Tamandua tetradactyla: one gene and its partner. The protein of the gene in region 1 purifies or fractionates together with the protein of each later gene. This does not show direct contact. Links are inferred from orthologs where the notes say so. Each region holds a gene or a part of one and is shown in the gene's direction. Other genes may lie near its edges.

Region 1 (8,191 bases):
CCCTTCTTTCTTTCTTTCTCTTTTAACACCCAGTCTCCAAGGAGACTTGGTTCATTGCTACATGGAATGGAAATATGTCTGTGCTCATATTATATGATCTCTTTACATTTCCCACACTGTTGACCATTTCTTCATTCTTCAAACTTTTTCTGCTTCTGCTTTTCCTCTTACCTGAGGCTGCCCCTTCTATCTCTCTTTTGCCTACTCATTCTTCTCTACCAGCCATCTCTGGGCTTGGCTACAGGTCTTTTTCTGTTCTCATTTTGCGCTCCTTCTGGGTACACATCTGCTACTAATGGCTTCAATTACCATCTACACTCAAGTGATACTCAGTTTTTCATTCTAGCCCAAGCTTTTCCTTTGATCTCTAGACTCATGTGTCCAACTGATGATGCCTATACTCAAAGACACATCATGTTCAATGTGCCCAAAACTAAAAAAGTTTTATTCCTAACCCAAAATACCATCACTTCAGTTATAGAAACCAGGAACCTTAAAGTTATTCTTGATACTTTTCTCTTTCTCTCTCTCACACACACACACCAGCTTGTCCAGGTCGTCACCAATTCTTATTGATCTTGCTTTCTAAATGTCTTTTTAATTCAACCACTAATCTTCACTTGTACAGCTACTACTGTAGTTTAAGCTGTCATCGTCTTTCACTTGAACTATTACAATTGCTAAATGGGATCCCCATACATACTTTACCCCCTCATTTATTTTCCTCCACAAGGCAGCCATCAGGATCTTTTTAAAACTATTTGTGTTACTCCTCTCCTGAAAATTCTCCAATGGCTTCCCATAGCTCTTAAGACAAAGACCCAGAGGCCCTGTAAGAACCAGCCTCTACTCAACTTTCAGACCTTACCCAGCTCAACCTTTCCCTTGCTCTGCACTCCAGCCACATCAACTCCTTGAATAAGTCATGTTTTAGTTCACTTTTCACTTCCTTTTCTGACTTACGTGACTAAATGAAATCTCTAATCCTCTTTCCTAGCATCATGTATCCCTCCTCCACAGCATTTATCATATTTATAATTTTGCACTTATGTATGTAGTCATTCAATTAATGTCCATTTTCCCTGCTAGAAAGCAAACTTAGTGAGAGCAGGGGTCATGTTTGTTTTTATTCACCTTTATTATTCTAGCATCTAAATCTAGCACGGTGCCTGAAACAAAAAGTTTGCTGAAATAATCATCCTAACTTCTCTCTCCCTTAAAAATTATCATAGCTATTGAGTACTCTGAGTGTCAGAAGCCATCTAAGCAATTAACATATATCATCTCATTATTACCATAACAGTTCAATAAAGAAAGTACTATTATGCTTATTTTGAAGATGAAGAACAATGGAATAGAGAAGTGAAGTAATCTACCCAAGATACATAGCAGATTTGCAAAGCTAGTAAGTGACAGCTAAGATTTGAACCCAGGAAATTTGGCTTCAGAATACAAGCTCTCTATTATGCTATTATACTTTGATACTCAGATTACAGAGTTATGTTTTTTGACTAAAACAAGTCTCTGAAAGTCTTTTCAAATCTGGAAATAATCTCAGAGATCATGTAGCTCTCTCTTTTCATAGATTGGGACACCAATATCAAAATAAGTGAAATGACTTCCCCAAGCTCACACCCCAAGTTAGTATAGAATCTGGACTTTGTCAAGTTTCTAACTGCTTGTCTAGTGCTAATTTTTACATTATATATTTCTTTTTACACACTGTAGTAAGCTATTGCCTCTTAGAAATGAGGGAAGTTTGGCGAGATTTAGCTCTCTTTCTTCTGAAGATAAAACTTTGTTGTTTTAGCTGAAAAATATAAAGGTATAATGCAATATATGACAATTCTTTTTTGTGATTGTACAAGATGTTGAACTAACTTTTATAATGGTGTGCATGTGTCTTTGTGTTGAGAGAGCTCGACAGAGAGTGGTATTCACCAAAGAGCTAGAGAAAAGAAAAACTGTCTGTCCCTGATGTTTGTTTTCACTGCCTGAAGACAAAAATCTAACTCAGATGATTTATGCAAGTGCGTTCTAGGTCAAATTATTTGAAGTATTTTGAAAGAGTTTATCTTTGCCATATAAAGGTGTTCTTCATAAAGCATTTTCCTTAAATGGGGAAAAAAGGCATACTTTATCCCTTAGTTCATTCATATCTTTGTCTCCCTAAAGCCCTGCTACCTAAACAAAGGAAGGTCTGTGGATTATCATTTGGAAGCTTATTAGGAATGCAGAATCTGTGGCTGCACTCCAGACCTACTGAACCAGAACCCGCGTTTTTACAAGATTCCCTGGGTGATTCTCATGCACATTAGTTTAAGAAGATCTATCCTAGGAGGTCTGCTGAGAGGTTAAAGAACAAGACTAAATGTCCTACACTGAATTATCTTCTTTTTAAAAGTACAGTTTCCACTTGAGGCTGATCACTTGAAAATATAAACCAGATTCTGTAATTTAAAAAAAGCAAACTATATATATTTGTCAATGAACAATTGTATTCGTTTGTTAAGCTTCCAGATCGCAATATACCAGAAATGGAATAGCTTTTAAAAAGGGAATTTAATAAGCTGCAAGTTTACAGTTCTAAGACCATGAAAGTGTTCAAATTAAGGCAACAACAAAAGGTTATCTTCACTCAAGAAAGGCTGATGCCATCAGGAACACCTCTGTCAGCTGGGAAGGCATGTGGCTGGCATCTGCTGGTCCCTTGCTCCTGGGATCCATTGCTTTCAGCCTCTGTTCCCTTTGAGGGTTCCTTATTTAGCTCCTCTGACACAACTCTGGGTTCTGGCTTGCTTAGCATCTCATGGGAAGACATATGGTGATGTCTGCTGGGTGCTGCATCTCCAAATGTCAGGGTCTCATATAGACTGTAGTAACTGTTCTCCAAACATCTGCCTCTGTGTCAGCTTTCAGGTTTCTTCAAAATATTTCCCCTTTTAAAGGACTCCAGTAAACTAATGAAGACCCACCTTTAATGGGTGGAGTCACATCTCCATCTAATCAAAAGGTTGGACCTATAATTGGGCATGCCACATCTTCAAAGAGATCATCTAATCAAAAGTTTCCACCCTACAATATTGAGTCAGGATTAAAAGAAATTGTTTCCCCCACAAGACTGGTACAGGATTAAAACATGGCTTTTCTGGGGTTCATAGTAGCTTCAAACTGTCACAGTGATCTTCAAAGATATTTCATTGTCTAGCTGTGAACCTACAAAATATGTTCTGCCAAAGTTTGAGGGCATTGAAGACCAACAAATGAAGCAGGCTACTCCATATTGCAAAATATTAACAGTTTATTAGGGAACTTGCAAACCGTGAAGCCAGTCTTGGGTTGCTATAAGACATCCAGAGGACTACAGGGGGTCATATCTGGTAAGCACAAGGACAACACAGAGCCAAGTTGGGATTTCCAAGATTGTGAATCTATCTCTTTGAGGTTACTGATATGCAGCAGGAGTGGTTCTAGTACAGACAGCTGTTGTGCTTAGGAATGTGCACATGTGCTTTAAGATACACTTACATGGGTTTTTTTTTTTTTTTTTTTTTGTCTTTTCTAGGAATTTATGGCTTCTCTAGTTTACGGCATCACATTCATAAATGCACAGAAAGCTGAATCGGGAACAAATGGTGGAAACCATTAGTCTAACCTTCCATCCAAATGCAGTCCCCTCTACAACATTCGTTTTTGGTTTCTGACTGAACTTTTCCAGGAAAGGTGGCTCATTGTATCACAAGACAGACATCTCAATCATTCCTTGCCATTCACTGCCATACCCACAGTCTTCATTTGGTTCTCATCATCTATCACTTGGACCACTGCAACAGCATACCAAACTTCTGCCTCAATCTTTCTCAAATCATGTACAGATATATGGCTGATGTTCCTGATCAATTCATTATTTTCTGCCCTTCCATTTTTGCTGGTATAATCAAACATCTTCTAATTATCCTAAGAAAGACATGGCGATCCTGCTTTCCTAATTTTGGGCAAGTCCATCTCCCTTCTTTCATCTTTTCCTCCCATGTCACAACTTGCCAGCTCTCTGCCTTGGCTGTGAAAAGTTCATTGACTTTGCATCTCCTCACCTCTCTCAACTCTCACCTATGTACTGATAGCAGCAAATATTCCTTTGTGTTACTATTTTTTACTTTAATGAAACCAGAGTTTACCTTGTTTGTCTAGACACCTAGTTCAAGGGTGAGTTCATTAAAGTAGGAATCTAGTCCTCAACATAGCTTCTCTTGATACCTGGGTGGTACTCCATCTTCCACTTATGAGGGGGAGGCCTCTGTCTGCAGTGTCATCTGAAGTTCATAGGAACGTCACCTGTCCAAAAACATGCCCTTACTGTCTGTCTGCCTCAATCTTTGAATTCTCATTCCAGAATTCCGTTATAACTCCCCTGGAGACAAAGGCACTTTAATCAAATTTCACAAACATCTTTGGAACCCTTGCCATACTCAAATTATTTTACTAGACGCTAGAATGGGAACGGAGATGAATATGATAAAGGCAAAGTTCCAGTGCGTACATCATAGTGGGGAAAGTAAATAAACACCTTTGTGCTGTTGAAGGAATCATATTATTTAAAGAGAGACAACATTTTCCCCAGAATGAGTCATCTGCTTAACTCGGGATCCCAAGACGTACGTATGGATGTATGGGTCAGGTATGTGTCTGTCAGAACGCAGAGGCGAAGTACGAAGAAATGAGATAGCACACCACAATGCAAAGTCTTCACCACCTACCGAGCATCTTAAACATCTGTACACATCGTTGCCAGAACACTGGCGACCCTAAGGACGATCTCGTACGTATCTCGTCTCCCTCTTTTTCCCATTAGACTGTGAGCTACCTGAAGACAGAGTTCGTCTTCTTTCCAATGCCCGTGACATTTAGTCATTAATGAAGACGATTAAAAAGGTAACACATTGAGCGCTTGCTCCGAGGCAGACACTCCCACAAGGGCTTTACACATATCCAATCATTTAATACATGTATTTCCTCAGGTAAATGAACGAACACGGCTCTCTTCACCTCCTTTACACCCCCTACCCTCGACTCCCTCCCTCCCGGCTTCGCGGTCCAGTCACCCTTTCCCGCAGCCTCGCGCCTACCTGGCCTCCCCACCCCAACCTCCAGCCGGTTCGCGCCCCGCCCACCCGTCGCCGCGAGGTGCAGGAGTGAGTCGCACTTCACGACGTCATCAGCGCGCGCCGCTCGCCGAAGCCGCATACCTCAGCGTGCGACTCCAGCGATTCTGGTTTCTCAGCGAACCGGCCACCGAGTTACCACAGTCGTCTAGGTCCCAAGGCCTAATAAAGCGCCCCGAAATGTCGATGCTGGCTGAGCGTGAGTGTGGGACGAGAAAACCCGATTAGGGCACGAGGGTGAAGATTCCGGGGGAACGCGCCCGGCGGGACTGAGTGGTGGGGAGCGCGAGTCGCCGGCGTGCGGTGGGGCAGAGGCGTTAGATGCCCGGGATGTGGGGTCGGGCCGGGGAACCCCATTGGGGGTCGCCGTGGATTTCCCAGCCTCAGCCTTCCACGAAAGTTAGCTACCGGATTAGCTATATTAAAAGAGACTGCGAGCGTCCCATCGAGAGACTTCGGGCCCTTAGACTCAAACCTGGGGACGCGCGCGGTTTGTTCAAATGGAAGTCAGCACACTGTGTCCTGAGACTGGCTATGCCGCCACCGTTCGTGGGGACCCGGACTCGTTCTTTTACTTGCCCAGTTTTCAGCCTCCTCTGGTTAAAGAAGACTTGGGTCCAGACGGATCTCTTCAGCCAGTGAAATATATTTTTGAAGATGTTGAACCCAGGAATAGAAAAGCAAAGGGAGTAAAAGGCATCAAACACAGGAAATTTGTTTGGGGGGTGCGGGGTGCAGGGCTAATAAGTAATTATAAGGAAGACTTTGGCGTTTTTGACTTAGTTGGAAACTGGTTGCTTGTAATTACTAGCTCTCTTCCAAGACTTGGAATTACTAACCCTCTTTCATTGCAGGATTGTAGGCCCCAGCCTTCTTCAGTTTGCCTTTGATATTTACCATCATTTTATAGATTGAAGTTGATTGAATCCCCTTCTCTGGAGGCTAAATTCTGAATGGTATTTGTAGTTAAGGTTTCTTGCCACCAGGTGGCAGTCGTGCTTTGGTCATGAAAAACCGCTTCATGCTTTTTGGAAGAAATTGTGTAGTGAACAGTGACCAGAAAGTTTAATTAAAAGACCAACAGCAAGTTGCACAGGAAATTTGTAAAATAAATGTCAACATTCTATTTTCTAAGGTGATGGAGGAATAGGAGCGTGAAAGGAAATGGGTAAGGCACTATCCCCAGTTATACAGGGGCAGAAATTTAAGTTCAAAGAAAAATAAACTGTCCAAAATCATTCAGCTAGTAGGTGGCAAAATTGACCTAGTTATCTTTGGAACTTTATATTCTTGCCACTAGTACCAGCGATTTTCTACCGTTTCTAAGTTGAGGCTCATAGAAAAGAATGTTTTACATGGTGACCCTCTAGACTCTTATTTCATCATCTATAAAAATGAACAGTCAAGACTAGAACTTAGATGGCTAAAGTCTCAGGTTTTAATGTTTTTTGAGATTTACTTAATTATCATGCATTTGGGAACACTGGCCCTGGTTCTGCCCTTCATTTCTACTGTTTCCATGATCAGTTTCTCTGTGACTATTAAAAATTTCTTTTATTATCTTCATCACTAGGTTGATATAAAAAAATCACTGATATCACTTCTTTTCGCCCACTATTTATTCCAAATTTTCAAATATTTATATAATATTTTGTAGTTTCTTTTAAAATAGCTTGTTAAATTAACATGATTAGATATTTAGAGTTGATGTTCTTATTTTAGAGATGAGGAATTTGAAGCATAGAAAAGTCCCAGAAGTAACCCATAATTTTGCTACCCAGTAATTATTTTTCTCTGATAGTTTATGAAAATGATATCATTCTATAGGTATATTTTTGTATCCTGCTTTTTTCATACTTAGCATTAGATTACGAGCGTTTTCATATTATTAAGAATGCCATTTCCTTTGTGTTCCATTACCATATGATCTATAGTTTGTATTCTGTTATCTTCACCACAGGTACTTATTCTATTTTTAATCTACTAGTGGTTTTCTTTTTTCTCAAAAACGTAAAAATTCTTTATCCTGTTATTTCTCTAATTATGAAATGCGATTTTATTGAATCTTCCCTATGTAAGACAAGGATTTTATCACCCTTCCCACTTTTATATAATTTGGAGTTTTAGACCCAGACTGTTATTAAGATATTAATTCATTCATAAAACCTTTTCAAGATCAATTTTTGACACTTGCAAGTATTACATTTTGTAACCAAATTACAACAAATACAGTTAGAATTACAAATTACAACATATATAGTTAATAATCTTGATACTCACTACATGAAAATTTTATATTATACCTTCCTCAATCTTGAATATATCTTGAACATTTTTTAAAAGAATTCATGCGGGTATACTTTGAGCTCTTGAATATCTGAAAATCTCTTTGGAAAAAACAGCAAAATCTTTGTTTCTGGCTCTTAGGACTCAACATACCTTTCAGAGTAAGCTGACTCCTGGCATAAGCCATGCTATAGCAGGCATGGAGTGATGGAAAAGTGAAGTCCCTTGCAGTTGTTGTTTAGAAAATTTTTTTATTGGAATTATCCTAGATGTATTCTCGTGGGGGAGAGATTTACAATTAGATCTCCAGTTAGGAAGAGACTGTCTGCTAGAGGATGGTGGGGTAGATTGAATCATGTCCCCCTACCCCCATCCCAAAGGCATGTTCAAGTTTCAACTCCCTAGTCTTGTGAGGGTGAACTCACTCAGAGATTCTCTTTAGATGAGGCCAGATTGAATCAGAGTGGAACCTAGCTTAATAAGATTGAAGTTCTTATAGAAAGAGAGGAAATCTGAACAGAGACAGATTGCCATGTGATAGAGGCAGAGATTGATTTCCAGCAAGCCATCATCAGAATGCTGTAGACTTCAGAGAAGGTGTGGTCTGCCAATACTTTTGATTTTTGAGCTTCTCACCTCCAAACTGTGAGCCACTAAATTCCTGTTGTTTAAGCCAGCCAGCTTATGGTATTTGTTATAGCAGCCCTGGCAAATTAAACAGATAGTTAAACATATCATTCCAG
Region 2 (7,483 bases), on another chromosome or scaffold:
GGGGTCCCCTGCTGCAGCACGGGGTCCCATGCCCAGAGCTGGGAGATGCCTCGGCCACTCCGGGGCCTGTGAGGGGAGCCCCTCCATGCAGAGGCCTCCAGCAGCCACACTTCCCTAACATGGCCCCAGCCAGGCCCCGCCCCCACACTCCCCTCACCCCCCAGTGACTGAAGCCCACTGTGGGCCTCCACGAGCCGGGAGGGCCCCTGAGCCCAGCGGATGTGGTGAGACGGGCGCCGTCGGCCACCCGGGCCCCGTCCACAGGAGCCCGTCCAGTGCCTGGACCGGCCCTGCCTGGCCCCTCCCACCCAGGACCTAACACGGGGGGCGGCACCCAGGTCATGGCACCCAGGACCTAACATGGGGGGCGGCACCCAGATCATGGCACCCAGGACCTAACACGGGGGGTGGCCCTCAGCGCCGAGGCGGGACGCAGGAGCTCGGGCTCTGCTGCTCCAGGTGACCAGAGCCCAGGGCTGGGTGGGCCACGGCCACGGGGCTGGCCTTGGTGCCAGCGGGTGGCCACTGCCTGGTTCCAGGCCCGCAGGGGCGGTCTTGGTGGGCAGCTGTCTACACTGTGCAGGCCCCGCGGTGGCGTGGAGCTCGCACCGCAGGAAAACTCGCTCTTGCCGGCACCCCATTCCTAAGGGGCCCAGTGCAGAAGCTGGACAGACGTCCACGGGACCCAGATGGACAGGGAAGACACCACCCCCTGCACGGCCATGGGAGGGAAAAGCCAAGAGGCCCAAGGACTGCCGGTGGCCAGGGGACACAGGCCCGGGGGAAGGCAGCCTGCGGCCTCGAGACACTGCGGCCTCGATACGCTGCCTGCCGCACCCCAGCAGCCGGGAAGCGGGGACAGGTCGTCGGACCAGGGTGGGCCGTGGCTGTCCACCGGGGACGGCTGCGGGCAGCGGGATGCGGGGCACCAAACTGGGCAAGCACCTCCCCTACCGCAGCCCCTGCGCGCTCGCCCTGGGCGGTGGGAAGCGTGACCGGGCGCGGCCACTGCACTGTCGTTGCACCTGCGGGACAGGCCACTCGCCCTCGCCGGGGAGCGTGTGGACACGCCGTGGCACCCCCACGGCACACAACACGGCCCCACAGCCAAAGCCACGGATTCTGAGCAGCGCCAGGCTAGTGTCCGGACGCGTGGCGAGGGCAGAAAGCCCGCCCCAAAGGCCATGTGTGATTCCATTCCTGTCGCGCTCTCCAATCGACAAAATTAGAGCTGGAGAAGGGCCGGGGTCACCAGGGGATGCGGCGAGGGGCGGGAGGCACATGGGGGCCTGCTCGGTATTGGGGCTCAGCTCCCAGCCTCGATCAAGCCGGAGGCCACGCAAACTGAACAGACGCAGGCGGATGCCCAGGCAGTGTCACAGCCACAGAGACGTCACAGCTGGGGCTGAGGGCAGCCCCCAGGCAGACTGAGGACCCAGAAGAAACACTGTAAACAGGCCCCTTGAAGCTGTCAGCCTCGGTCAATGTGTGGCCACCCGAGCCAGGCTGCATCCTGCCCCCGGGATAGAAGGCCACGAAGAGAAGCTGGAGGTCACAGAGCCGAGGCAAAAGGCGGGGGTGGCACCAGGGCCCAGCACTGCCAGAAACCCCCGAACACATGGGACGGAGCCTTCCAGCCTCGGAACCCTGAGCCGCAGAGTGCCCGTGCTTAACCAGCCCAGGGCGTGGTGTTTGTCTCGGTGCAGGACACCGGGGCCCTCGGAAAGTGTCTGGGAACCTGGGAGCGTGCTGCCTTCTGGGGCGAAACGACCTGGAGTAGGGAGAGTCTCCTGGGTGCAGGGTCACTGCAGTGGACAGCAGAGCCAGGAAGCAGGACTCGGGGTCAGAGAGGGCATCGGCTTGAGAGTGCAGGAAGGAGCCATGAGCCCCCCGAGGCCGGAAAAGGCTAGGGGCGGGTCTTCCCAAGCCTCCAGGACAATTGTGCACCTGCACCTGGCGAGCGAGGTCGCTGGACCTCTGGCCCCCAGCTGCTGTGTGCCAGGTCACTGTTACAGCACCTACAGGTGCCAATTCCCTGGGGGTCATAAGGATTTCAAAGCCACAAGTGAGAGAACAGAGCGCTGGGAGTGAGCCCCCGGGGTGGGGGTGGGGGTGCTGTGTCCGGCGTCCAGCATGGGCACCCTGTATACAGTGGGGTGTGCCGTGGACCCCACATCCTTGCATGTACTTTCCCTTAGAATGGGAGCTTACTCCCATTAAGTCCCACGGCACCCATTTTGGAGCCGCAGACGGCTGAGACGCGGCCAGTCCTCCCCCTTTCCGCAGCGCGCACCCAGCACGCCAGGACGGCGTGACCAGCCCCGCCCACGGCACCCCACCCCAAGACCTGCGCCTTCAGCCCCCCAAACCCACGGGAGACCCCCGCAGCGCTGTGGAACCCCGAGCCTGCCCCTTTCCCTCAGGATCTCCCAGGGGTGGGTTGTACACGCAGGCCTGTGGCGTGGGGGCCACTTATTTCTCTCCTTACTCAGGGCTGAAGCGACTCACTGCCCGCCCTGCGCGGGTTGCTGGGTTTCCCTTCACCTCCCGGTGTGGTCAGCACGTGGACACCGCCCTGGAGGCGGCCACCTTGGCGCCCCCCTCCTGGGATTGAAAACAGGGCCTTCCTGCGTGCACGCCGCTGTCTCTGGCTGGGGCGCAGCGTTCAGCACTGCCGCCCGTCCCTGCCGTGGAAGGGCTAGAGCGCTTTTCTGTGGCTGGCCTGTGTTCCAGCCAACTGGGGTAGACTGAGTCACGTCCCGACAAAGGCACGTCAGAGCCCTGGCCCAAGCCAGGGGATGAGCTGTTCTGTCACTGGGATGGTGGCGTGGGCCTGGCCGGCGCTCTGCCCTGCCTCAGTTTCTCCCGCTCCCTTTAAGGATGAGCTGCGCCTTCTGACGCCCCGTTCGTGGCGCCTGTTGAAGGTTCTGTGTTGGGGCAGCCACTTCTCTGTTGGGAAAGCGCACGTTCTCCAAAGCAGCGCGAATCCTTCGCCGCACAGTTAAGCGGTTGTCCAACACCGCCTTGCCGAGGCAGGAGCTGGCGCAGCGCACGGCGGAAACGGCTCCAGACAGCTCTGCGCATTTACCGCAGCCCGGACAGGGTAAATGCGCAGCGACGGCCTCGCCAGCTGCTCAGGTTGGAAAGGTCACGTTTGCTCAGCGTTTCAGCGTTTACGAAACTCCCAGCTCCACTCCAGAGACCCCCAGTGTCTCCACTTGGTGACTCAAACTTGACCGCCCCAAGTGTGGGTTTAAAGTCGAGTCCCGTGGAGTGTCGTGAAGGAGGTGAACTGAGGCCGCCCCGTCTGTGCCCCCGCCCCGTGACCTCAGCCTGTGCACCCTCAAGCGGTGGAGGGGTAACTGGTAAAGGGGGGCCGGGCTGTGGGATCACACCTCCCTCGCGGCCCAGTGGGCCCCTGCCCGTGAAGTGGGTTCTGAGGGGAGAGCTGCCCCCTTGGCCGGGGGGTGGGGGTGGGGCAGATTACACCAGGAACGGCTTTGGTTTGCTGTTTACTGTCCCCACCACGGCAGGAGCCTGAAAAGGGGACCCCGAAAAGGGGACCCTGGCGCGTGGTGGGGCTGCGATTCCGACCCGGTCGGGAACGTGCTGTAGGGAGGGCTGGCTGCCATCGTCCCTTTCCGTGGCACCAGCCGCGCGGGGGCCGAGGGCCTCCGAGGAAGGGAGTAGCAGAACGCCCTCTCCTCAGGGGCGCAGAGACCCCCAGCTCCCTGTGGACCCCATCCGAAGGTCCGCCGCCCCGGCTAAGTCCGGATCCTCTTGGCAGAGAGGCCGCACTCTGCGCCCCGCGCCCGCCGCGCCTCTGAGCCCGGAGACGCCCTGAGAGGGGTCGCCCTGCAGCAGCCGGGTGCGTCCAGACTCCGCCTGCGCTCAGCCCTGATGCGGCCCTCGAGTGCCCGCCCAGATCCCCGGCGGGGAACAGGTGCGCGCAGGTCCCGCCCCCGCCCCGCCCAGGGCTCCGCCCCACCACGCCCCTTCCTCTCCGGGCCCCGCCCCACCACGCCCCTTCCTGCTGCGGCCCCTCCCCTCCTCGCAGCGCCGGCGGGAGCCTGGATCCCCAGCACGTGGGAGCTCGGCTCGCGCGCCCCGGCCCTTCCCCGCCGCGATGCCGCGCGCCCCCCGCTGTCGGGCCGTGCGCGCGCTGCTGCGCGGGCGCTACCGTGAGGTGCTGCCGCTGGCCAAGTTCGCCCGGCGCCTGGGGGCCGAGGGCCGGCGGCTGGTGCGGCGCGGGGATCCTGCGTCCTTCCGTGCGCTGGTGGCCCAGTGCCTGGTGTGCGTGCCCTGGGGCGCGCGGCCGCTCCCCGCTGCCCCCTCCTTCCAACAGGTGGGACCCGCCGGGCCCTTTTCGCCCCACCCCGCCGGCGTGCCGCGGGGCACGTGCATTCCGGGGCGCCGACTCACGCCCCTCAACCCCCGTCGCGTCCGCAGGTGTCCTACCTGAAGGAGCTGGTGGCCAGGGTCGTGCAGGGCCTGTGCGAGCGCGGCACCAGGAACGTGCTGGCCTTCGGCTTCGCACTGCTGGACGAGGCGCGCGACGGGCCGCCGGTGGCCTTCACGACGAGCGTGCGCAGCTACCTGCCCAACACGGCCACCGAGACGCTGCGCGGCAGCGGCGCGTGGGGGTTGCTGCTGCACCGCCTTGGGGACGACGTGCTGGCCCACCTGCTGACGCGCTGCGCACTCTACCTGCTGGTGGCCCCCAGCTGCGCCTACCAGGTGTGCGGGGCGCCGCTCTACGAGCTCGGCTGGTCCCCTGTCCGTTCGGCTCGGCGATCTGCCAGCGCCGGGGAGGTAGCGCAGAGGGTCGGCACAGCGGCAGCCCCCAGCCGGAGGCGACGTCGAGGCAGCGCGAGCGGGTCGTCTTCGGCCAAGAGACCCAGGCGTGACCCGGTTGGGGAGCCCGATGAGCCGGCTGCCCTGGCTGACCCAGGCCGGGTACAGATGCAGAGGGACAGCGATACCCCGACTGGGACAGCCATCCCCGGAGCCGCCACGTTTGCCACCACTTGGGAGAGCGAGCCGTTGGGGACATGTGGCCCTTCCACGCGGGCGGGCAGCGATCGCGCCACCCGGTCCTCGTCCACACGGCCACCGCCGTCGGGTCCCTGGGACACTTACATCGAGACCAAGCTCCTCCTGTACTCCGCCCGGGCCAGCGAGCGGCTGCCGCGCTCCTTCCTGCTCAGCGGCTTGCAGGGAAGCCTGGCAGGCGCCGGCCGCCTCGTGGAGGCCATCTTCCTGCCCTCGACGCCGCCCGCCCGCGGGGCCTCCCGGAGGACGCGGCGCCTGCCCCAGCGCTACTGGAGAATGCGGCCCCTGTTCCGGGAGCTGCTGGAGAACCACGCGCGGTGCCCATATGGCGCGCTGCTCAGCACGCACTGCCCACGCCGGGCCTCAACGTCCGTGCGGGGGTCCCCTGGGCGCGCCGAGGCTGGGGGCCTGCTGTCGGGCGGGGCAGGGGGCGGGCCCCAGGAGAGGCCCCCCAGGCTGGCAGCGGAGGCAGCCGGCGAGGAGGACGCGGAGCCGCGGCGTCTGGTGCAGCTGCTCCGTCGGCACAGCAGCCCGTGGCAGGTGTACATGTTCCTGCGCGCGTGTCTCCAGCGGCTGGTGCCCACCCGCCTCTGGGGCTCCAGACACAATAAGTGTCGCTTCCTGAGGAACGTGAAGAAGTTCCTCTCGCTGGGGAAGCACGCCCGGCTGCCGCTGAGGGAACTGATGTGGAAGATGAGGGTGGAGGACTGCACCTGGCTGCGCCGGCGTCCAGGTGAGCAGGTGGGCCCAGGACGGGGCAGGTGGCTGTCCAGCGGTGGCATGCAGCTGTGAGCACGGGAGGCTCGAGAAGGCGCACACTGGTGGGCAGAGGTCCGCCTGGGTCCTCGGACCCCTTCCCTCACTTGGGGTGCAAGTTGCTTCCTGTTCAGGCCACATGTAGGCCATCTCTGCCCTCTGATCCACGCCCTTACCTGCCCAGCACTGTCCACCCATTTGTGGGCTCAGGCCGGAGCAGTGAGCAAACAGGATGCAGAGGGCCAGTGGAAGCAGGTTTCCAGCAACAGGTCAGAAGTGTCCAGAAGCTCTCATGAGGGTGCGGGCAGCTCACTGCTGTCCCCTCCTTGACTTTAAAGTTTATCCCTGTAAAACCGGGCCCCATGCTCCACGTGGGGGGAGGGAAGAGAAGGGGATGGGAACTGAGCCTTTGTGGGTGGTGGGCGGGGGGCAGCGGGCAGATCCGCACTTAGGGCTGAGCTGGGCGGGGAGGGCAGGGTGCGGGAGGGGTGCAGGAGCCGTGGGAGCCAGACCGATGGGTGGGGAGAGCAGTGGGTAGCCTCTTGCTGCAGGGCAGCCAGGCAGCCCCGAGGTCCTGGGGGGCCCCTTGGTTCATGCCGTGCTCCAGGACTTGACATGGAGTCCCTTCTGCCCCCGTCGCCCACACACTAGTGTCAAGAGGCACGGGCCGCCCGCCTCTGCCGCGCCGTCTGGTGAGCAGCCTGTCCTTCACCCCGCCTCGGGTGTGCGGGGCGCCCGGTCTCCCTCCGGTTGGTGGCTCGGCCCTGACTGTCCCTCCAGGCCCTGCTTTAGCCGCACCCAGGCTCCATGTGCGCCGCTCACGGTAGCGGCCATTCGAGTGTGTTCTCGTCTCTTCTGAGATCAGGTCAGCGCGTTAGTTAAGACGTTTGTGTTTTATTTCCCACGTGTGTGGGATGTCGCGGGCTGTTGTGGGTGGCTTCTCCCCACGGTGTGCTGGTCAGGGGGAGGGGGCTGCACGAGACTGTGTGATGTCTCTTGGGACTTTTCTCCTGCCGGGGGGGTGTGCTCTGCGCGAAGCCCGGTGGGCGTTGGGGCCCCCCAGGCTCCCCCCGTGCTGCCCGGAGCTGCTGCCCCTACGCAGCTGGCACGCGGCCCACACCCTCCCGCGGGGTCTGCGCTGGGCACGCTGCGGGGACCGTGACGAGGACTTGGCAGCGTACTGGAGGGTCCGTCTTCCTGGCGATTGCTCCCCGGTCGTGGCGGCTCTCACGGCCCTTCGGGGGCCGCGCGGTTTCCCTGTGGCAATGGCCGTCCATTGCGCCTTCTCACCCTTCTGTTTTACCCTCTCGTGGCCTCGGACCTTCTCAGCGCGTGTCCTGTGACAGCACGGGGCCGGGGCCGAGGGCACTTTCAGTCTAATCTGTCATTTATCCGCAGGCTCTAACTTGTTTCCATTTCCCCAGAGTAGAGACCTGTTGTGCAGCGTTTCTTTTATCTTCCTTTCGGTTTCTCCTGCTTTTCACCGCGCCTCGTTCCCCTCCATTCTCGCTGTCTGTGGATTGTGTGTTTCTCGTTGGACGTTAGTCCTTGTTCTGTTTTTTTCATCCTGATGATTTAGAAATTACGTCTCCACTGATGTTCACATCGTGGTCACCTTAAAATTTTTAACGGTGTTTGAAGCATCTTTGTGTTTCTCCTCGAGGGTGAGAACTTC

Evidence for each region. Proteins that work in one complex are often made in the same cells at the same time.
Region 2: the proteins of PINX1 (region 1) and TERT purify together in Homo sapiens (co-immunoprecipitation; 3 studies listed by BioGRID and IntAct, with this or other methods). This does not show direct contact. The link is inferred for Tamandua tetradactyla from reciprocal best matches to the Homo sapiens genes PINX1 and TERT.

Annotation. Positions count from the first base shown.
Region 1 is NC_135329.1:32,277,739-32,285,929, reverse strand, and holds the start of PINX1 (PIN2/TERF1-interacting telomerase inhibitor 1), read left to right. Parts: upstream 1-5,165; 5' UTR 5,166-5,342; coding exon 5,343-5,361; intron 5,362-8,191. UniProt on the Homo sapiens protein: Microtubule-binding protein essential for faithful chromosome segregation. Mediates TRF1 and TERT accumulation in nucleolus and enhances TRF1 binding to telomeres. Inhibits telomerase activity. May inhibit cell proliferation and act as tumor suppressor.
Region 2 is NC_135335.1:49,469,295-49,476,777, reverse strand, and holds the start of TERT (telomerase reverse transcriptase), read left to right. Parts: upstream 1-4,126; coding exon 4,127-4,345; intron 4,346-4,449; coding exon 4,450-5,785; intron 5,786-7,483. UniProt on the Homo sapiens protein: Telomerase is a ribonucleoprotein enzyme essential for the replication of chromosome termini in most eukaryotes. Active in progenitor and cancer cells. Inactive, or very low activity, in normal somatic cells.